3 linked regions of the Caenorhabditis elegans genome follow. The protein of the gene in region 1 purifies or fractionates together with the protein of each later gene. This does not show direct contact. Each region holds a gene or a part of one and is shown on either strand. Other genes may lie near its edges.

Evidence for each region.
Region 2: the proteins of pro-2 (region 1) and grwd-1 fractionate together in Caenorhabditis elegans (co-fractionation; one large-scale study listed by BioGRID). This does not show direct contact.
Region 3: the proteins of pro-2 (region 1) and T01B7.5 fractionate together in Caenorhabditis elegans (co-fractionation; one large-scale study listed by BioGRID). This does not show direct contact.

The regions. Positions count from the first base shown.
Region 1 is NC_003280.10:10,338,037-10,347,854, reverse strand, and holds pro-2 (Nucleolar complex protein 2 homolog), read left to right. Parts: upstream 1-2,742; 5' UTR 2,743-2,743; coding exon 2,744-2,964; intron 2,965-3,009; coding exon 3,010-3,292; intron 3,293-4,301; coding exon 4,302-4,577; intron 4,578-4,636; coding exon 4,637-4,747; intron 4,748-4,793; coding exon 4,794-4,904; intron 4,905-5,698; coding exon 5,699-5,890; intron 5,891-6,591; coding exon 6,592-6,852; intron 6,853-6,903; coding exon 6,904-7,131; intron 7,132-7,429; coding exon 7,430-7,573; intron 7,574-7,627; coding exon 7,628-7,735; intron 7,736-7,796; coding exon 7,797-8,009; 3' UTR 8,010-8,114; downstream 8,115-9,818. Other genes in the region: stip-1 (Septin and tuftelin-interacting protein 1 homolog), read left to right, coding at 1-127, 177-300, 348-712; C07E3.10 (uncharacterized protein), read right to left, coding at 1,006-1,206, 1,349-1,453. UniProt on the Caenorhabditis elegans protein: Required for normal somatic gonad development and for regulation of germline development and proliferation.
Region 2 is NC_003281.10:5,151,889-5,157,146, forward strand, and holds grwd-1 (Glutamate-rich WD repeat-containing protein 1), read left to right. Parts: upstream 1-1,575; 5' UTR 1,576-1,657; coding exon 1,658-1,780; intron 1,781-1,826; coding exon 1,827-1,920; intron 1,921-1,968; coding exon 1,969-2,126; intron 2,127-2,265; coding exon 2,266-2,716; intron 2,717-2,892; coding exon 2,893-3,428; 3' UTR 3,429-3,548; downstream 3,549-5,258. Other genes in the region: rbm-42 (RNA-binding protein 42), read right to left, coding at 153-728, 857-1,160, 1,211-1,239; putative cytosolic Fe-S cluster assembly factor oxy-4, read right to left, coding at 3,644-4,031, 4,077-4,182.
Region 3 is NC_003280.10:8,715,275-8,723,395, forward strand, and holds T01B7.5 (Sas10 C-terminal domain-containing protein), read left to right. Parts: upstream 1-1,559; 5' UTR 1,560-1,570; coding exon 1,571-1,593; intron 1,594-1,645; coding exon 1,646-1,851; intron 1,852-1,895; coding exon 1,896-2,119; exon of another isoform or gene 2,120-2,162; coding exon 2,163-2,249; intron 2,250-3,114; coding exon 3,115-3,221; intron 3,222-3,268; coding exon 3,269-3,389; intron 3,390-3,434; coding exon 3,435-3,593; intron 3,594-3,759; coding exon 3,760-3,912; intron 3,913-4,658; coding exon 4,659-4,802; 3' UTR 4,803-4,807; intron 4,808-6,238; 3' UTR 6,239-6,411; downstream 6,412-8,121. Other genes in the region: cyn-11 (Peptidyl-prolyl cis-trans isomerase 11), read right to left, coding at 1-28, 466-646, 692-850, 905-1,006; T01B7.13 (uncharacterized protein), read left to right, coding at 143-297, 347-443; trcs-2 (TRansport of membrane to Cell Surface), read left to right, coding at 7,222-7,362, 7,413-8,048, 8,096-8,121.

The DNA of each region.
Region 1 (9,818 bases):
GGATACGATGGAATTGAATCCAACGATGAATCCAGAATATCCTGAATGGACAGCTTGCATGGAATGGCTTGAATTTACACATCCTGATGCAATTGCTAATATTGTTACAAAGTATTTCTTCCCGAGGGTAAGTTGATTATTCATGTTCGTTTTTAAATATTACATTTTTTTTTCAGTTCTACAACTGCCTCTGTCTTTGGCTAGATAGTCCTGGTGTCGATTACAATGAAGTGAAGCGTTGGTATGGATCCTGGAAGGCTCGAATTCCACAAGTTCTTGTTAATTATCCAACTGTAAATGGTAAGTTCAAATATCTCGTTTTTAGAATCAAAATGTTTTTTTTTCAGAAAATCTTCGTCGCTCAATGATCGCAATAGGGCGATCCCTTCAAGGAGAGAAAGTCGGCGGACTCCAAGCCACTCCGATTGCTCCAATGGCTCCACCACCACCAATGGCACCACACTTTACTCAAGCTGCACCTGTTCAGAAACTGTCATTAAAAGAAATTATCGAGTACACAGCTGGAAAGAATGGATTCACATATCATCCACAAAAAGATCGATACAAAGACGGACGACAAGTATTTTGGTTCGGTGCACTTTCGATTTATCTCGATTCGGAAATGGTTTATGTGATGGATCCAATCGAATTTGTATGGCGACCTTCAGGGCTCAATGAGCTTATTCAAATGGCTCAAGGTGCACAAGGATAATCATTTTTAACATATCATATGATCTTGTTTAAACTTACGATAAAAGTTATTTTAATTTATTATTGTTTTAATTTTAACCTTGTCTATTCATTCCGTTAGATAACGGTTCATTATTTTATACTTTCTGCTTTGTATTTGTATTTTATAAAATTTATTGAAATTAAAAAAAAAACTGTAATATAGTATACTCGTAAAATTTTTACATTAAAAATCATCGGTTAATTTTTCGCAATTTCATAAAATTCTAATATTCTAATTGAATTTTCTAACCGATTAGAAAATAATGATTGAAGTTAACCGAATTGGCGAATCGCTGAGATCTGTGGAATATGCTGATCATCAAAATCGATTAATTTTCCGCCGTCATTCGTCGTAAAATTATTATTAGAACTTGTCGGGGAGTAGGCATTCAGTTTTTCACTTCTTGTAGTTATTGGAGTTTCAATCGAGACAGCTACTCTTTCTGACGGGAGTTGGACAATTGAGCGCGTCGGCTGAAAATCTAGATGAGAAAATTTTGGAAGCTTTTAAATTAAAAAAATAAGTTTTTACTAAAAATACTAAAAATTGTAATCTTTTCTGAATCGTAGAAACTAAATTTATCTCAAAAATCGAGAATTCTACAAGAAAACATACATTTTTCGGGAATAAATACCATACGAATAGTCCAACCACTACTCCGAAAACATGTAGAGATATTGAGATAATTGTGTGCGTTGTGTAGGATAATGTGACGAACATGAAATCTGAAAATTAGCAATTTTTCACATTTTGTATCAGTTTCTCAACTATAAAACAAAAACATAAAAGTCAAAAGCGATGGAAAGACTGTGAGCGAGAGATGAAGCCGACGGAATGAAGCGTAAAAGCTGTGGCGCACCACGGCTGCGCGGAAAGATTTTTCTCGTTTTTCTGATGTTGCTGACGGGCGACAGCCAGCAGCTTCTCCTTCCATTATCCTACAAGTGTCCAATTCATCCCGCAGAATGGCTTTTGTACCTATCTCCCGTCCGTTCTGGCTTATCGTACCGGGGACATTTATTGCGAAATGTAGAGGATTGTGTATGTGGTTTAGGAGTGGAACATTGAAGTAGCTAGCGGGAATTGTGGGATTATTTTAATTTTTATGAGATTCTCAATAGTTTAACTATTTAATTTCATCAAAAAATATCCTATTTATGGAATTTAATTTATGTCGAAAAAATATAGAAAATCACTAGATTTATCTGAAAATAACATTTTTTTCAGCCGAAACTTTTGAGAAAATGCAGAAAATTACCTTAAACTAAATGTTATTTTCAGATAAATCTAGTGACTTAAAAAAAATTATTTTTGACACAAATAGGAAATTAAAAATGTTAGAAAAACATGGTGCATTATGTCATTTTGTAGAATTGCAGAAACTATTATGATATTTTGACATCGAATGGAAAAATGGCAGCTAATCTAGCGAGCGATGAGACCGGTTCTCTATAGATTTTCAAGTGACCTTTCGGAACGAAGAAGTTCCAATCAAGCTACATACTAGATTCCTAGATTCTATAGACTTAGAATAATTAAATCAAAAACCTATCATGGATGAGAATAAGAAATAATGAAATCCTGCCTTGAATTAATATGCAAATGAGATGACTATACAGTCAGAGAATTATTCCTTCTTTGTTACGCGCGTTTCATCCGAATCTTTTTCCTGACTATGAGAAAGTCTCTTCGTTGACCGTAGTCTCTAGAGGTCTTGTGACCCCGATTCGGTCGCTTAAACAAAACACAAAAATACAGTAGTGGATTGAAAGTTCGCGGCTTTTCAAAAAGTGTTTTTGATCTTTATGTATCATAAATCGTGAAAAAAACGACTAAAAACGACTGCCGCAGAAAAAAAAGTTCGAAATTACCGTACTCTTAAAAAGCGAATATATTTTTGTAAGTCTGTGGAGGGTACTGTATTTTTAGCGCAAAATTTTGCGAGTGTACAACTGAATTATCATTTCGATATTAGAAAATCATGTATTTCCACAACATCATAATTTCAGGATGAAGCTTCTCAAAAAACCCGCGGGACTCAAAAAAAGAAAAGTTATTTCAAAACGAATCAAGATTGAAAAGAAGCCAAGTTCTGAGGACGAGGGAAGTTCAGATGAGGAGGTACCAAAATTGGATGGAGAAGGAAGTTTAGATGGATCTGAAGATGAAGATGATGGAACTGTGACTGTTGAGAAAGGAGGTGTGAAGAAGCATAAGTTGGATTTGGAAAAGTGAGAAATTGTCTTCGAGCTGGTAATAAAAATATATATTTTTAGACTGAAACAATCCGATCCCGAGTTTTTCAAGTTCCTTCAACAGGAAGATGCCGATCTATTGAATATGGAAGATGATGGGGATGACGATGAAGATGACGATGAGGATGATGAAGATGAAGAGGAAGAGGAAAGTGATGATGATGAGGATGATGAGGAGGATGACGACAAGACAAAGATTAAGAAGATCCGAAAACCAAAGATTAAAAGTGACAATTCTGGACGTCTTATCGTGGATTCAAATGTTTACTCTTACCTTCAACAAGTTCTCGTTTTGGATGATGAGGTAATTTATATTATCGAGACGGAAAACTTTACTTACTTTGATACTTTGATGTCCGTTGGGTTCAAGTTGCGAGGCAACTGCGGACAAACTCGAAAAAATATATTTGTTTAGTTGAGAAAACAATTAAAAACGCATACATTTTTTTAAAAACGTAAATTTTGAAGTAAATGATTTTTTAAAAAATTTTAAAAACCTGATACTAAATGATTAGCAGACCCAAGCTGTGACTAAATATTGGTTTTTAGAAATTTTTCATCGATTTTTCGTATTTTAGTTGAAAATATATTCATTTATTCAACAAAAAAAAAACAATTAAAATCACATAATTAATAAGAAATCAGTAAAAAATACTATAAAAAATCAATGAAAATTACAGTAACTAGAGTTTGAAACTACAGTACTCTTTAAATGCGCACACGAGTTTGCATTTAACTAAAATTATGTCGTGTCGAGACCGGGTACCGTATACTTTTAGCATAAAACGAAATATTTCGCGTTTGGGAAATATGGTTGTACCAGAAAAAAACGTTATCGAAAAAAAAAGGTTTTTCGCCAAAAATCACGAAAGAAGCAAAAAAGGAAATTTTGAAGTTTGGAATGTTTTTTTTTTGAAAAAAGTGTGAAAATTAAAAATTTTGTGTTTTCAGTGAGCGACAGGCGGTTTTTTCTTTCGAAAAGTGAGAAAAAAACGTTTTTTTAAGCCAAAAACGTTGAAAAAGGCAAAAACGAAGCAAAATAGTCTAAGATTAAATATATTAAAAAAAAAAAATTCATTTAAAATAGGGCTGAATCCGAAAAAAAAATTTCTCGAAGTCGACGGAAGCGAAAAAAACGGAAATTTTGATGTTGCGACTGTTTTTTTTTGAATAATATCAAGTGCAACTTTTTTTTAAAGTGTAAAATATTTTTTGGCAAAAAAATTTTTTTTAAAAAGTGATAATGAAGCAAAATAGTCTATGGCCATCGTGCGAGAATCCTATTCGAATTCCAACAAAATGAAATATTATAGACCTCCACACCCACCAATCCATCGGATGTTCGTATGGCTGTCGATGTTTTTGTCGCTTGTGTTGCTCGAGTTGGTGCAGACATTGAAGCTCCAAAATATGTCATTAATGAGCAATCAATCTTCGAAGCTGTTGTTCGAATGTGCTTTCAAGCAATGCCTGATATTCTAAAAAGATTATTGAAAGCGAAACCTGAAGGAGATAAAGTTTTGTTCTCGAAGACTGCAATCAAGAAATATCAGACATATGTTAGAACATATCTTCATGCAATGATTGTTGTAAGTGGCTGAAAACATCTGAAATTCTAAATTTTTGATTTAAATTCAAATATTTTCAGTTTCTCAACGAAGTTCAAACCACTGAAGTTCTCATTGCCACAATTAAAGCCATGACTCGGCTTGTCGATCTCTATGCTCATTTCTCCAGAATGTCTAAACTTTTGATTAAGGTAAGTCATTACAAGAAAATCATACTTTTAATTGATTTATTTTCAGGCGGTCGTCAGAATTTGGAGTCGCAAAACTCTGGAATGCAGACTTCCAGCCTTCGTTTGCATGAATCTTCTTGTCAAAAACTATCCGCAACACTTCGTGCCACTTTACAAGGTAATTCAATTTATTTTTTGTAAAAAATTTAAAAATTGATCTAATTAATCTAAACATAATCTAATTCAAAAGTTCGATTTTAAACGCTAAATCATGGAAAATTTCCCGCACAAAAGAGTGTGCACCTTTAAGGAGTACTGTACTTCTCTGTGTCTAGTTTTTCAGAATGTTTAAAATTTCCTCTTAAATCTAAAAAAAACAACATTTGGACAACGAGAAAATAATCGTTCAATATTCGAATTTTGAAAAAATTAGAAATTTTAGAAGTAAGAACTACAGTAATCTTTGAAGACGATAGGAAAAAATTGCGCTGAGATGATGATCAAAAATTCAAATTTTCGATTTTTCCGGAACATCGAAAAAAACGTTTGAAAATTAAAAAGCTACTTCAACATTTTAATGAGAAAAAAAATTTTCCTCTGGAAACAAAACAAGATTGCCAAAGTTTCGAGCGTTTTTCGAAATAAAGAAAAACTATTTTTTGAAATCTTGAAAATTTTTTCTGCAATACTGGAAATAATTTTTTTCGTTTATTTTTTAAAGAAAAATGACAAAATTATTCGCAGTATAGCAACTGAGCTATTAAAATGTGAAAATAATGTGCAAAAAATGTGCTTTCCTTTAAAAAAAATTTTAATGAAAAGCCGCGAAAAAAAAATATTTTTTTAATTGAAAAAATTTAAAATTTTTCGGTTTTCGATTTTCCAAAAACAAATTTGAAAATCAGTTTGAGAAAATTTTCGATCGCGTCGAGACCAGGTACCGGGTTTTCGCAACTATACAAACTCACACAGACCGCCTATGTTGCATTTGTTGCAAACTCGAAAATCGTCACCAACGAAACGTGGCCACTTCTTCAATTCATGCACCGAACATTTGCCGAGCTGACAATTTTGAATCCAGAGCAAGCTTATAAGTATGCATTTGTCTATATTCGTCAAACAGCTGTTCATCTTAGAAATGCAATGATTTCAAAAGGACGAAAGGTGAGAAGAAACACAGAAAACACTGAATCCTGAGAGGGTTGAAACCAGGGATGTGTGGATAACCGATTTTTTCGGCTAACGGCTAATTCGGCTAATCTCAGTCATTCAAATCGGCTAATTTTCGGCTAATTCGGAATTTGGTTAAACTTTTTTTGTCCATTCTGTTAATTCAAGTTTTGGGTTACTTTTTTCACTGTTATTGAGCAAATTCAGGGATGAACGACTGTTCAAATAGGAAAAAATCATACAAATTCACCACATTTTGTTTTCCAAAAAAATATGTTAGTTGAATTAGCCGAAATAGCCGATTGGCGAATTCGGCTAACATCAAAATCGGCTACGTATTAGCCGAACTGCCAAAAAGTCGGCTAACGGCTAATTCGGCTAATATTAGCCGAGTTAGCCGAATTAGCCGATCGGCTAATTCGGCTAAATCGGCTATTATCCGCACACCCCTGGTTGAAACCGAAAAAAAAGTTTTCTCCAAAAAAAAACGAAAAAAAATTGTTTCATGTTATTTTGAAAAGATTTAATATTTTGGTCAAAATTGCACTCTTTTTATAATTTCGAGTGTTATCAATTTATCAATTTTTCGGTTCCATTTTTTTCAAAAAATATCGAAAAATAATAAAGTTTTTGCCAAAACCACACAAAAAACCAAAACAAAAAATCTACAGCCCAAAAAAGAAACATTTTTTAAGGATTTGATCTTCTCCATCTACAATTGGCAGATGATGCAGTGTATGTACATGTGGGTACGAGTTATTGCTAAAGCTCATTCTGTGAACGGCGCTGAACAAATTGGAGAACTTGTCTATCCTCTCATTCAAGTTATCGTTGGAATTTTCAAGCTTTGCAATGCTCCAACTTTCCTACCACTCCGTCTTCATTGTTGTCAACTGCTCATTCAACTTCAAGCCAGTTGCACCAATTATATTCCGATTTTGCAGGTTTCTTGCGACGTAAGTTTTATTATTTTTTAACAAATTCTCACGGAAAAATAATAATTCCAGTGTCTGGAAGAATTGGCTCGTGAGTTGAAGTCGAAGCCAAAACCAGTAAAAGGAGCAGTCAAACTTCCGGATATCGAGTGTACTCTGAAATGTTCATCACAATTCTCAGATCTTCCACAGTGGCGAAAAGTCATCTCAGAACATGTGTTCAGAACTATGATGCAGTCTGCACATCTTTTGGCTAGTCAAGCCGCATTTCCGGACGTCGTTTTGCCGATCAATCATAGAGTCAGTTCATATTACTTATTCGCAAAATTTTGAGATTTTCGCGCAAAAAATAGTCTCGGCACGACAAATTGTTTTAAATTGATTTTTTAGCAATTTTCGGATGTTTCTAGTTGAAAATTCATTGTTTTTTTTTCAGTTTCTACTCAAAACTCAATTTTTTTTTCCGAACAATAATTCATTTTTTGAATAAAATAAGTTAAAAAAAGAATTTCATTTCCATCGACGATTTTGCTAAATGTTAGGATGGAATTAAATAAGAAATTCCAAGTAAAAAAAAACAATTAAATAATATTTTCAGATTTCCGCAATCCTAGAAACAATGAAAAATGGAGATCACGCTCACTTGTTCCGCGGATTCCAAACAAAACTGAAAGAGCACTCAAGATTTGTGCTTGATGTTCTTGCTCGCAAGAGTGTCGATATTAATGATGAGATGCAAGTGGTTAGTCAAACAATTTATATATATTTTTCAATAAAAATAAAATGACTGCTTCAGCGTGCCGTCCGCTTTGATCTCAACAATCCTGACTCGCCGATCAAGACATTCTATCGGCAATGGGAGAAAGTATGGAAGATGAAGGAAAGAAGTGCTGTGGAGAACTCGGTTCGTTTTTATTGAAAAACTTTTCATAAACTAAACATTTTCAAAATATTAATTGCTTCAGAAGAAAGACGACAAAAAGAAAAAGAAGGAAGAAGAAGCTGCTGCTGCGAAAAAAAGAAAACCTAATGAAACTGTCGAGGACGAGGATGATGTCAAGCCAGAGGTTTCGAAGGCAAAGAGGAAGAGAATCAAGATTGGAGCAGCTGCCAAGAAAGCAGACGCCTCTGTTCCAGATCAATTTGCTGATATGTCAATGTGGAGTGATGAGGATTAACTGTTATCCTAATATTTTGTTTTTTTAAAAAGAATTTGGTTTTTTTATTTCTGTTGTTGTTACTTTATCATTTTTGTTGTTATTGAAATTGTTCGGGAATAATGTTTTATTTCATCAAACGTAGTTGGTTGGCCCACATCAGCTAAACTAAAGCTGAATGAAGAGAAAACAATCCATGTCACATTAGGGAAAAACCGAGAAATAACTTCAAGTACACTATTAACGGGAAGAATATTAGGAAAGATCTGGAATTTCTTGTGTCTCTAAATCTTAACTTTTCTGATCACTGGAAAAAAGCAATAAATGCATCTAACTAGCGAAGGGTCTGAAGGTGCCAGCGGCTTTTCGAACGAAACATGTTTCATTCGAAAGCCCATGTTCAGAAACGGTGAAATGTGAATTTTAGCTGCGAAATTTCAGATTTTAGCTCAGCTCAGCTATAGCTCACCTATAGCTGAGACATAGCTGAGCTATGAGCATAGATGAGCTATATTTTTCAAAGTTTGTAAAATCCATCTATTTTTGCCTATACATAGTAGTTTTCATTAATAATAAAATACGCACTAAAAGGTAGGGCTGAAAATGTACTATTTCTGTAACTACTTGAAGCTTCTTGTACCTACTGGAATATTGTTAATATAATCTGAAAGAGCTTAAAATTTACTACAAAGTTTCTGAAAGACATTTCGAAAACAGTTACTTTGAAGAGGTTTATGAATTTTCAAAGTTTGTAAAATCCATCTATTTTTGCCTATACATAGTAGTTTTCATTAATAATAAAATACGCACTAAAAGGTAGGGCTGAAAATGTACTATTTCTGTAACTACTTGAAGCTTCTTGTACCTACTGGAATATTGTTAATATAATCTGAAAGAGCTTAAAATTTACTACAAAGTTTCTGAAAGACATTTCGAAAACAGTTACTTTGAAGAGGTTTATGAATTTTCAAAGTTTGTAAAATCCATCTATTTTTGCCTATACATAGTAGTTTTCATTAATAATAAAATACGCACTAAAAGGTAGGGCTGAAAATGTACTATTTCTGTAACTACTTGAAGCTTCTTGTACCTACTGGAATATTGTTAATATAATCTGAAAGAGCTTAAAATTTACTACAAAGTTTCTGAAAGACATTTCGAAAAAAGTTACATTGAAGAGATTTATGAATTTTCAAAAATTGGAAAATCCATCTTTTTGCCTATAAATGGTAGTTTTCATAAAATAATAAAATACGCACTAAAAGGTAGGGCTGAAAATGTACTATTTCTGTAACTACTTGAAGCTTCTTGTACCTACTGGAATATTGTTAATATAATCTGAAAGAGCTTAAAATTTACTACAAAGTTTCTGAAAGACATTTCGAAAAAAGTTACATTGAAGAGATTTATGAATTTTCAAAAATTGGAAAATCCATCTTTTTGCCTATAAATGGTAGTTTTCATAAAATAAAAAAATACGCACTAAAAGGTAGGGCTGAAAATATACTATTTCTGTAACTACTTGAAGCTTCTTGTACCTACTGGAATATTGTTAATATAATCTGAAAGAGCTTAAAATTTACTACAAAGTTTCTGAAAGACATTTCGAAAACAGTTACTTTGAAGAGGTTTATGAATTTTCAAAGTTTGTAAAATCCATCTATTTTTGCCTATACATAGTAGTTTTCATTAATAATAAAATACGCACTAAAAGGTAGGGCTGAAAATGTACTATTTCTGTAACTACTTGAAGCTTCTTGTACCTACTGGAATATTGTTAATATAATCTGAAAGAGCTTAAAATTTACTACAAAGTTTCTGAAAGACATT
Region 2 (5,258 bases), on another chromosome or scaffold:
ACTCAAATAACGATAAATATCTCAATTCAGACTTTTATATATTGAAAAGAAAAATGAATAAAAATACGATGACAGGAAAATAAGGGGTACAATGAAAGTATTGGGGTATAAATGAATAAATTACAGAAAAAAATGTAGAAAAACGAATCGATTTACAAAATTCCAAGTTCTTTCTTTTGCTTTCTCTTTTGCTTGATAACATCAATATTACGCTCCTTCCATGCCGATTTTCTCAATTTAATCGGTCGATTTCCAACATATTTTCCGTCCATTTCACGCATAGCTCTCACATAATCCTCCGAATCTCTGAATGAAACGAATCCATATCCTTTACTCTTATTTGTTCGTGATTCTCTGACAACTTTGGCTTTTTGGAAACTTGGGTATTTTCGAAAAGCCTTTGCAAGAAGTTCATCCGACACTTCATTTCCCAGATCTCCACAGAAAACTCGAAAATCATTTTCATCCCATTCGGCAAGAGATGGATCTTCCCAAACCTGACCACCACCGGATCTCACAAACTTCTTTTTCGCTTGTTGTTCCTTGATTTTCTTCTTAAATGGATCGGTTTGCTTTTTGAAATTCATCTTATCAATATCTGATTGAAGAGCTTGAGTTCGCAGAAGTTCTTGTGGAATTGCGTTTACTGCAGGTGTTTCATATAATGCTGGAGCACCTTCAATAGTTGCAGGAGCCGGAATTCCGAGTACTCGAGGAGGGAACATTATCTGTAAATTTAATATTCAATTGAGAGTAATATTCACATAACTTCAATTTTTAACTTTTCTCTCAAAAATTTATGGCTTTATTCATAAAATAAGGATATTTTTTAAGTCAACGGAAAATCAAAACTAACCGGTGCAGCTCTTAATTGTGGAGGCATGAAAATTGAAGGTGGAACTGGAGGCATTGTTGGAAGCCTCCCAAGTGCCGGGTTGATAAATGGAGAAACTGCAATTGTGGCAGCTATCGGAATAAACGGAGGCGCTGCCAAAAGTGATGGTTGAATAACTTGAGCACTAGAAGTAGCTGCTGATGACTCGGAAGTAGTTGGTCCTGCCGAAATTGTTGCATTATCGTAGCCAACATGCGTTTGAGAGCTTGCTGGCTCCTCCGAATTGCTACTCGCTTGTTCAAGTTCGGCTAACTCGCTTTCAAATCTAAAATAATATAATTTGTTTGATAATAAATATAGGAAGAATCAACTTACAAAGCCAGTTCATCATCCAAGTTGGCCATTGTTGAAGGGTGAGCGTTTCAGGCTGAAAATAAGTCTAAATATAGTCAGAAAGTACAGAAACTTTGCGACAGATAAATCAAAAAATATTAATATTTAATATTATTATCTTTAACACATAAATGAATACAAATAAAAGGAAAATAGCTTTTGTTTCGAAAAACATTAAAAAATTGATAAAAATATTAAGAGTACGCAAACACCGCATGAAATAAGCCAGAGACGACGCACTTTTGCGTACTCTAAAATTTTTTCTGTTTTCCTATTTATTTTTTTTATCCTCCCAATTTTCACGCTTTACTAGTAGTTTTGTGCTCATAATTGTTTTAAAATTTAAGAAAACACCCTCTGAAGTTCCAAATATTACCTCATCCGCTTTTTCTAACATTTCTTAAGAGATATATTCTGTATCTGCAGAAAATGTCCGGTGAAAATGACGTTGAAATGCATGATGAGGATCCAGTGGAGGATATAGACGAGTCTGAAGAGGAAGTTGATGAAACTGATGATGAAGACGAGGAAGTACCGGAGAATCAGAGACAAGTGAGCTAGAAATTTCGTACAATACTTCTAATTGTTAAAATTGCAGGCTTACATTCCAGGCCTCAGCCGGCCATTGAAAAAAGGAGAAGAATTGGATTTTGACCCTAGTGCTTACAAACTATTTCATAGTTTCAATTCTGGTGATTCAAACGAAATTGTTTCTAAAATATTTATATTTTATGATTTAGATTGGCCATGCTTGTCGTTTGACGTTGTTAAAGATGGTTTGGGCGAGAACAGAACACAATTCCCTGCCGAATGTTATATTGTCAGTGGAACTCAAGCCGATAAGCCAAGGGATAACGAAATCATTGTGATGGGATTGAAGAATCTTACAACGATGAGGGTTAGTCGGTTTCAAACTTTTTTATTATTTACCTGTTATGAAATTGAAATTCCGGCCAACGTTTAGTTTTAAGCTCAGTAACACAATTGTTAAACTAAAAAAAACAAGGATATCTCTACAATAAAAGTGAGTATTTCAGAAAGAAAAAGAAAACAAAGGCGACGACAGTGACACCTCTGAAGACGAATCCGAAGATGAAGATGCCGAAGAAGAGAAGAAAAGAGAACCAAAAATGCACGCTGTTTCGATTCCTCACTATGGTGGTATTAACCGAATTCGTTCCGATCGTCTTGGTGACAGTACTGTATGTGCTTGCTGGAGTGATCAAGGACGTGTCCAGGTGTGGAATATCACTGATGCATTGAATTATACTCATGGAATGAGCGGAGAGTCGAAGACTGAAGTGCAAAAGATCGATCGACCCTTGTTCACGAATAATGGATCTGGAAAAGAAGGATATGGACTTGCTTGGTCTTCATTAAAAACTGGAGACTTGGCTACTGGTGATATCATCAAAAAGATTTATTTGTGGCAAATGAAGGAAGGAGGACAATGGGCTGTTGGAGCTAATCCATTAACTGGACATAAAAGTAATTTATTTAATTTTGATCTGAAAATTCCAAAAATTGAAATGTGTCTCCTGAATGGCGTTTGAGTGGTTTTTTCTTGAATAGATTGGAAAAAAACAAAAATCTGAATTAAAAACTTGTCTTTGTCGCATAAAAATTTTTGAGCATTTTTCAGTACATATTCCAATATTTTTCAGAGAGTGTCGAAGATCTTGCATGGTCACCAACTGAAACTGGACTTCTTGCTTCATGTTCCGCGGATGGAAGTATCAAACTATGGGATACACGTTCTGCTCCAAAAGATGCCTGCGTCTGTACAGTGCAAAAAGCTCATGAATCCGATGTTAATGTTATTTCGTGGAATCGTCACGAAAACCTCATTGTTTCTGGTGGTGATGACGGAGAGCTGAAAATTTGGTCTTTGAAAACAATCCAATTCGGTCAACCAGTGGCACTCTTCAAGTATCACAATTCACCAATCACTTCAGTCGACTGGCATCCACATGAAACAACGACATTTATGGCTTCCGGTGAAGACGATCAGACAACAATTTGGGATATTGCAACTGAAGCAGATGGACAAACGAATATCGAAGGAGTTCCACCACAGCTGATGTTCGTCCATATGGGTCAGAATGAGGTCAAAGAAGTTCACTGGCATCAACAGATTCCTGGATTGGCTATCAACACTTCAATTGATGGATTTAATGTCTTCAAGACTATTAATATTTAAGATGTCTCCCTGTTATTGCTCCCTGTTTGTTTTTGTTGCTGTTTTTCTCATCTATTCAACATTGTTACTGTTCATTTTTTTTCGTAACTTTTCTGTTAACCAAAAAATGCTTTAAAAATGTCGCGTTTTCGTTGAAAAACAAAAAAAAACATTTTATTCTATAGAATCTAAAAAATTAGGGACTGGGAATGTATCACAAAATATAACAAGAAAATTCACCATTTCAAGACTTGAGCAACATTCGTCTCAACGGGCCTATAGTCCGTAAACAGAAGATTACGGTAGTTTTTATCAAGTTTCTCCCATTCCTCTCGAACTTTTATCCAGGTTTCTTCATCATCTTGTCTGGGTAAATCTTCATATAATGCCTCGACTTTAATCAATTTCTCTTCTCTCTCATCCATTGTCTCGTACCGAATCTGACCTCCACCATTTGCACATCCACCCGGACAAGCCATAATTTCCACGTAATCTGTCTTCTCCTTTTTCGTCTTCATTTTTCGAACCAGATTCTGCACATTTCGAAACCCGTAAACCTTGGCAACTCTTAAAAGAATTTCTCCAGCTTCGGATTCTACAGTCGTGGAGAACATGTTCTTGTTTCTGAAAAAATGAAATATTACATTATTTAAAGTTATTTATTCCTACAGTTTTGATGTTTTTACAATTCCTCCTCCATTTTCCAGCACGAAATCTCGAACAATTCGATCAGCATATCCTCCAGAAGCACCACCATCGTCACCAATAACAGATCCTGAAACATTTCAGTATTGTGTTTTAAGGGAGGCATCTTTTTTTATTTTGTTTCGTTTCTAAAGATTACTGTAGAAAATTTACGATATGTTTTTCAGCTCCTGCTCTGTTCAGTTTCATGTTGTATTTCTCGTAAAATAAATGTTTTCCACAAGTTGGAAAATATGGTTTTGTCGCCAATACCTACCGAGACCCATGGTTGGGAGGCGGAGGCATTGTAGCGCGATTTTAAAAGAACCAACGCCTCGAAAATTTTCAAAAACGGCGAGAGAAAAATATTTGAATTCCCCAAGAGGAATTTCACCACAGCGCGTGCAAAAATGTCTGCATTTGCGCGTGACGGTGTTTGCACAAATTACACCGAATGGTCGAGCTGAAAACACGTGTCCTACAACACGTGAAGAGAAATAAAAAAATCTACACGTAGAAAAGGAGTATTCAAAAGTTTAAAATTTATTCCTCAAGAATAAGAGCTTGAATTCAGTCACTCAAGAAATTGATTGTGTAACTGATCAAGCCTGATTTTTTTTGGGATGTAAGTTTTATTAATTTCTGAGAATTTGACTGAAATTATTTTCAATTTCAGAATATTATTGGCGCAGACTGTTTCTGTTGGGTGCAAAGCGAAGGCTACAAAACCAAAAGCAGCTGCTCCGAAACCGGTAAGTATAAATAAGATTTTATAAGCTGAAGATGTTCTAAAATTGAAATCATTTCAGATAAGCTCAAATCGACAATCTCGAAAGTTGTCCCACCAGCTCGTCCACCATCACGACCAGAAGATTATGAGATCAACTGGGGACCTAAATGCTGTTAATTTTGAATAAAATCGGTTAAAATACAAGTCGTTGTTTTTTTGTCTTTCAGCTCTCAAATCCGCCGCAGCTTCTTTGTTTTTCTCGAATTTTCAAGTGAAAAAGAGGTTTTTATGTCTACAGTGGCGTGCTAAATTCTGTAGAAAAATTCCAGATTTTTGGTAACTTTTGGTATTCTCTACATAAAGTTTTTTTCACTAAAAAATTTGAGGAAACCAAAGGATTTGCGTCGAAATTGGAGAATTTGAGCCTGACTTTAAAG
Region 3 (8,121 bases), 1.6 Mb from region 1:
ACCGTCAGCATTCCATCGAGTACTCGTCCTGCAATAAACGATCGGTCAGAAATATCAAACATATCAATGGCGTCATTAACTAGCTTTATCTCGTATAAAAGGTGATAAGGATATAAGGAAATCTAGTTGTTTTAGCTAGACGATGACACGCATTCTCGTTCTAATTTTTTTCTTTTTAAAATGCGTTTCATTGCAAACATTACTTCCTTTATTGTATGCTAACGCTGGCATGTTCAACCCATATAATCAGTATAAAACAACAACTATGGCACCATCAATGTATCACCAACATTATCAGTGGGTATCATTAAAATTTGCGATTTTCTTTTTAAAACACTGCTTTCAGGGGATTGGGATGGAGAACTAATGACGTTGGAGACATTTATCACAATCACAATCCGTATTCTTCTTTCTTTGTACTACAGAAATCAACTTATCCGTGAATTTGAAATAAAAAAAAATTACCAAAAACTACATGTTTGTTGTCAAGGAAATCGGTTTTTGCGCAAGTGATAAAAAACTGACAACCATTTGTGTCAGAGCCAGCGTTAGCCATCGAAAGCATTCCTGGTCCTATGTGCTTCAGCTCGAAATTCTCGTCACGGAACTTTGAACCATAGATGCTCATCAAACCGGTTCCATCGCCCTGAAAAAATGATATAACTTTAAAATTTAAAATTGTTAAACTTACGTTGCAGAAGTCGCCACCCTGAATCATAAAGTCCTTGATCACACGATGAAATGTGCAGTTTTTGTATCCGTTTGGGACACCATCTTTTTTGTATTCTCCTGTACAGAACTGACGAAAGTTTTCAGCAGTTCTCGGTGTTACATCAGCAAATAACTCGATCTGAAAAATTATGAAATATATAGCAAATTAAAACTGGAATGGTCGTCAACTTACAACAATAGTTCCGATTGGTGCACCACCGGCGGTAACTTCTAGAAAAACGATTGGGTTATCCGGATGACGGAGCTGCTCGGCAAACTTGTCGTATTCAGTCATTCTGAAAAAGAAAACATATAAATGAGTTAGTTTTTAAAACCAGAAAAACGTTTTCTGTAAGTATTCGAAATAAGTATTTTCGAAATGTGTCAGGTTTTTCCGAGAATAATGGGATCAACTGAACTAATCGTTCATAAGTTTTATAACCAAGAAATACAAATTCGTCAATAAAATTCGACATATTCAAGAAAAAAGTGATATTCGTTCTATTCAAAACAAAAAAAGGTGAGCATTAAATGGGTGTATAGAACAATAATAAAGTGCGCGGGTAGTTTGCAATCAGAAACCCCGCCCACAAAGCCCTGCCGCTAATAATTTTCCCCCGTCTTTTCTCAAATTCAACTCGAAAATTCAATTTTTGAATAATTTATCTTGTAAAAGTTCGTTCTATTCATTTAAAAATTAATTTATCGAAGTTTATCACACGATTAAAGCATAATTAACTTTATTAGAGTTATTCATTGATTTGAAAATCAGAATTTGGTTTATTTTCGGTCGGTGCAATCCGTTTCTCTGTTGAAAATGCTATAAATTGCTAATTTTTGGATTTCAGATACTAGAACTATGTCATCAAGGAAGGGGAAAGCGTAAGTTGAATGTTTTTCACAATTTATAAATAATCATTAAATATATTTTCAGATCTGCTCATATCTCATACGAAGACGAAAATGATGATCTCATTGATGAAATCAATACTTTTCATAACAAAGACAGAAAAGTCGAAAAGGGTGCTATTCACAAAAGAAAAACATTCAATCGTCCAGAAGAGGTGTTAAACGTTGAAGCAGAAGCATCGGATAGCAGTGAAGACGATGGATCCGACTTTGATGATGACGATGTTAATGGTAGTTTTCTTTCTGAATTACCTGATTAACGTAATTTATTTAAGATATCACGGACAACAAATGGGGTAAAAAGAGGAAAGATTTCTATGGAACTGGATTCGTGGATAAAGATTGGGGCGGAATGCGTGAAGAAGAAATGGAAGATGCTCAACTCGAAGAGGAAGATGCGTTGACTCGTCAAAAACAAATCGACAAATCGACAGCTGCCATTGCTGATTTATTTGACGACGACGATGAAGATGAGGAAGAAAAAGAAGAAACTGTCGAGGTAAACGAATTGAAAGAATAATTAAAATAATGAAAAGTTTTAGGTGGAAACAGTTTTAGAATTCAATGAGGAGAATGCAAGGACAAAGAACAAAAAAATCGTGAAAACTCTGGAACAATTTGAAGCAAGAGTAAGTTCTAATTTTTTAAAATGTCTCTTCACTTTTTTCCCGGTATCAGTTGCAGCTTCTTCCTCTTGTGATAATTTCCTATTTCTTCCTAATGCCAATTCTCGAAAGTTTATTAAATTTTGAAGCTATCACTTGTGAACATCAAATGCTGATTCGTATCGTTTCCAAGGTTAATTTTTCGTGTTCTCTCTTTTTCAGTATCTTCCCGTTTTCACTTCATCTGTTCTCTTCATTCTTTCAACTAAACACCACCGATGGCTAGTAGATAAGCGGTCTCAAATCGCGCAATCGTCTCTGATTACGTCAAAAACGGGTTGCCATCATAGCCTAAGGATGCTGGACGATTCGCTTTAAACGATGATTCTCAACGGACAAAACACACAATTGAAACGATTTAAATCATCCAACATCAGACGCCGTTATGTGTGAACATTAAAAAGCGAAAGCAAAGTGCCCTTCTGGTGTCTGAAGAATTCGATGCCTGAACTGCTCGAGTTAGTTTCGTATGTTCTCATCCTCAAACATCACATTCTAATTATTCTCATAACTTGTCTTGTTTTCCTCGTTTCTGTTCACCTGGTCGGTTTGTAATTCACACCAAACGATGTTGGACATATATCGGCAGCGACCGCCAGCTTTTTCTGTTTTTCAATTATATATTGCTACTTTCAATTCTAATTAGCGGCTAAGAATTGTTATACAGCTGTTTCCGGAGAGCTCGTGACCAGTTTCCTTTTCACCTGATAACATTTTCTCTTGTTGTTATCTTTCTCTTCTTCCTTTTCACTTGTTTCTTTTCATCACCATTCTAACAGTTCAATTTTCCCCTTTTTTCGGTTTAATTTTAATTTTTTATACTTTTCAGAAACGCATCTTCGATCTCGTCGTGAAGCCTCTTGAAAATGTAATCAAGCAGATTCCAAAATGCGCATTGCGATCGCAGTTAGTCTACGTTGCCCAGACATATGCATCGTATGTTTTCTTTTCCTAAATTTCCATTTTTATGATTTATCTTTCAGATACCTCATGAACACAGCATTCCTGTTGAATCTCAGAGCCAAACAGTTTTCCAATGAAAAACTCGACGATCCACTTGTTGACATCCATCCTGTAGTGGAGTCGCTGAAACGACTTGAAAAGGTATTCCGATTGATTTAAATTTCAAATACAAACTTTTAAATTCAGAAAATCACCGAGTGTGAAGATTTTTTGCATTCGAATTCGGATCATCTGGATGAGCTCAAGAAATGGGCGGAGTCGGAGCCAGAAAATATGGAAGAATTGATTTCGAAGGTTGGAGATGTTCAACTTACAAAGAAGAATTTTGGAGCAATTATGAACAATGTAAGTTTAGGGAAAACATTATTCGAATTTAAATACATTTTTTGTTTGCCGTATATTTTAAAGATTTTTAAAGTTTGTAAAATTTAAAAAAATTGTACATTCTTTTGTCAATAAAAATCAGGAAACATAGCTGAATTGGATTAAGATCTGGATTTACTTTTTTCAGAATCTTTCAACAATCACATCTTCTGATAACACATCAATTCATCCACACTTCACACCAATGGATGCAGATGAAAAAAGAAAGGCCTCTGACAAAGTTGCCAAAAACCGTGAATACGCAGAACGACGTGGGAAAAAGAAGGCCAAGACCAGCAAGGTAACTTTATTTTCGATTTTTTATCTTATTTTTAATACCAAAAATATTTGTATCATAAACAATTAGTGTATGAAAAATAATTCGATGAGTAGGGTCGACATTTCTTGTGCATGAAAATGTTGTTACAATGCTTTCACGAATACATGAATATATTTGAAAAATAACAATTCTTGTTTGACAAAAAAGTCTCACAAAGCCGAGTTTCATGTGAGATCAAAATATGAATACACTACATAACTCTCTATTTTTTGCTCCAACCCAAAAATCCAATACGTCGAGACGGCGTCTATGCTCCCCACCACAGCGAGTAATTGGCTGCCGAAATCTCAACTTGCTTATTTGGTTTCTATTTTTTTAAGATTCTTTTTCGAGAGTTGTGATAAGAAAATAATTAATTCAGTATCACACCTGCTTGCTACTGAATTCAAAAAAAGTTTTTTAAAAAGCGTAGTGTAATGAATTATCTGAAGCATATTTTAACTCAAAAAGAAAACCGAGCACAAATGAAGCATATAACCATGACTTATTCAGACAGATAAGTAATACGATTTTGTTTAATCTTAATTTTTCTTGAAAGAAATAAAATAGACTCACTGTGACATAGACAATTCAACGTCTAGGCGACGACACTTGAGAGTTTCATCCTTGGTTACGTATACTATGCTCATTTTTACTGCAACTCCCAATTAGCTGCGTTGTGTGTTTTTTTTTTTGAAGTCTCCCAGTTCAATAATTTCTAATTTCAGACTAAAAATCGTCGCAAGGTCCACGCCATCGAGAAGCGCGTCAAGTCTCAGATTGGAAACGTTCGTCGCGAAATGCAGAAATATTCTGGAGAAACGAGCGGAATTCGTGCATCTACAATCAAGTCGACTAAGCTTATCGCTTAAAAAAAGTGAGTTGAATGTAATGCAGACATCTCATTCTGATATCGTGCCATGTCATATTTATCACGCGACATACTCTTCACTCTCCACTGCGCAAATGAGCTTCACTCTTTTACACATGAAAATAATTAGCATATGAAACCGAAAACAATGTGAATATTAACTTTCAACATAAATATCCTATCAACATATAAAAACAATGAAAAACCTGAATTTACTTATCATATGGTACGTATGTTTAACCTTTTCCTATTCCTCTCGTTTGCCCTTTTAGTCGGTTGAATGTGTTTTTGTGTGCCCGGTCACTTTGGGGCTATATTCATCAAAAGAGGATAGCCTTCTTCTTATTCTTCCTCCATCGGTCATTTCGCTCCTCTCTTTTCGACCCCGGCAATATGTGCGCGAGGTCTGGCACCACCGTGTGTGTGTGTGTGAGAGCGAGTATCCTATTTTTTATTCGTGTCCCCCGTCCCCATGAACGACTGGAGCCCTAGCCACCTGCTACTTTCCATTTTAGTTCAGCTGACCTCGTATTGTCTACGAGCTGTTCATAATTTCATAAGAGCAATAAAGTGTACTATAAAACTGTGATTTCAGACTGTTTCTCTATTTTTGAATCTTTTTAAATACAACAAATTCGAAAAGGTGTTGACTAGTCTGTCTGAATGAATATTTTAATTTGAGATTTGAGTCTGATGTGTGTTACACATTGATGAGAATTTAAAGTAATTGTGACGTGTCATTCTCGAAAACCAAGCCTCTTCGGATTTGTTCAATAATTCGTATAGCTCGTTTCATGTCAGAAAGGCGAATACCCGTAACTAAATTACTTTTTCCTAGAATGCTAAAGAAAATAACTGATCTATTTCAATCAAGTTTAGGCTAAAATTTAATAATTGATGGCGTTCACATATGTGTGTGTGCCTGCGTGTGTTTGCGTGTTCGATGATAAGCTTTCTTCTGATTGTCTTCCTATGATTCATCAATTCTATTGCCTCCAGCCTCTTCTTCTTTCATACAATTTTTCACTGAAAGTTTCATAGCTCTCGGAAAATGCCTACGACGAAAATTGTAGTCACATATCACATATTGATAAGCAGACGTTTTTCATATTTCTCTATTTCTATTCAATGATATAAAGTGGTCTGCAGCATGTTTGATTATTAATTTTTTTTTTTCTAAATTGAATTATCTTGGCTTTGAACTGATTAAAAAATGCATTTTCTATTTTCTTTACAATCGATCGTTTTGTTATAGTCCTCGTGTGAATTCTAAAAATGTTCGTTCATCAGAAATTATAGATGACCTTTGTTTATTTTGTGTCTTCTATGAAAAAAAAAAGAGCCTATCATCCAAAACTTCTGATATCAACGGTTGAAAATTAATTTTTATCAATTTTCTCAACATTGCATTACCTTTTCAACCAATTTAATTTTCAGGTGTCATCAATTTCTCCGTTGCCACTGCATTCAGCTGGACTTTCCTGGTTTTTTTGATCGTTAATATCTTGTTTTCTTTGATTTATTCATTTTTCATTTATCCTGTTAACCTTCGTTGTTGATTTTTTTTGTTCCTAAAATCGCCCTTTCTACCAAAATGAAGTTGAGTTTTCAATTTTATTGAAAATAATTATTTTATTGCCTTATATCGGTTTGAAACCCGACGAATATCTTTCTTCTATTATCTTATTATTGTCATTTCCCATATTCACATTACTTCTTCATTATTATCTTCATACATTGTTATCACATGGCTCCTCATTGATTATGATAGATTCATTTCCCCTCTGGAGATTTGATTGTCTTGGCAACAGTCATTCTCCCCACCAACACATATCAGCTCGCAGCTCCGCCTCATTCTACATTTTCTCATTTTACATTCCATTCAGTCGGCTCAGTGTCTTTCGTTTCCCCAAAAAGCTCGCTTAGATATAAACCTATAATTATCAGAGTGTTGAAGCAAACATCTCCGATGCTCGGTGAGCTGCAGTGACTAACTGAGACAAGCACTGGTTTTCAGCTTAGAAATTCACCTGTTTCTGTGGCATTTTCGCAATATTATATTTCCTGAATTTCTTAGAATCAGAGTGTCACTGTAATTTCAGCTGCTCGTTACCGAGGCTTCACGTAATGGGCGGACGAGTACTGTTCCCCAATGCTCCCCCAATCTTTGCACTTTTTTATCTGCTCATGTTATTTTTTCTTATAAGACTGGCAGACGGTCCTTTGTGCATCCGTCGAGCTCACATTTTTCTCTTTATCACAGCTTGCATAACCATCGCTCTCACTTTCCTTCTCCCTCACCGATTTTCCAATTTTCTTCTCTTTTTTTCTCTTATTCTTTCCGCTTTAAACCTCAAATCAAATTGATTTAAACGTAATTTCATTAATATTATTTCAGCATTGCACTCGATAGTCGAATGATGTCGAAGATTTTAGGAGATGGACATGTTCGGAAAACCGGTAGATCTTGTGTGATTTTGGAAAAACAACATAATCGTCTAGTTGACTTACCTGATAGTGCTTTACGGTTGAATTATGAAAAGAAATATTATGAACCAGAGGTAAGTTCTTCGAATCGTGGCTTCAAAGAACTTTAGAAAATAACTTACAGAATGGTGATCATTTAATATTTTCTGCTCAACTTCAAAATGGTCGTTATAGTGCATTGACAGCAATTAAACCAACTGATCTTTTACAAGTTTATGGAAGTCTTTCTTATTTGGATGAACAATTAAAATTTGGGCATGTTTCAATTCATGGAAGAACTGCGAAAGTTTTTGTTCCTTTTTCAACAAGAACGACGAATGGAGCGTGTTGGTACGGACAAGGAGCATATATCGACAAACCTTATCTCATATACATTTTCCGTCAAGAAGAAGCTCACGGCTGCAAGTTTGTAGCATGGGCTATTTATGATGATACTAGAAAGACGACAAGCGTACCACCTACTCCTACGGACATTCAAAATACCTCACATATGAAGAAATTGGGGCCTCCAACCGCCGTTCAACGACAATCGGATCATCAATCAGTTGAATTTGTTCAAGCTCAATCGGGTGTTATCTATGATATCTCTGACAATTACGTGATATCTGTGACTTCTCCCACTTGCCAAAATGTTGAATTTGCACCTACGTTGTATGAAAGTTGGATGAGACCAGGTCGTTTTATAACCTTTGATGGGCGTCGTGTTTCCGATGTCAAGACGTCTAAGCTGATGGGAAGTAATCCTGAAGATATGGGCTCGGTAATTTAAACTAGAGTAAAATTAATACTAATTTGTTTTTTTTGCAGATCTATCCAATTAGAAAGTTGACTCC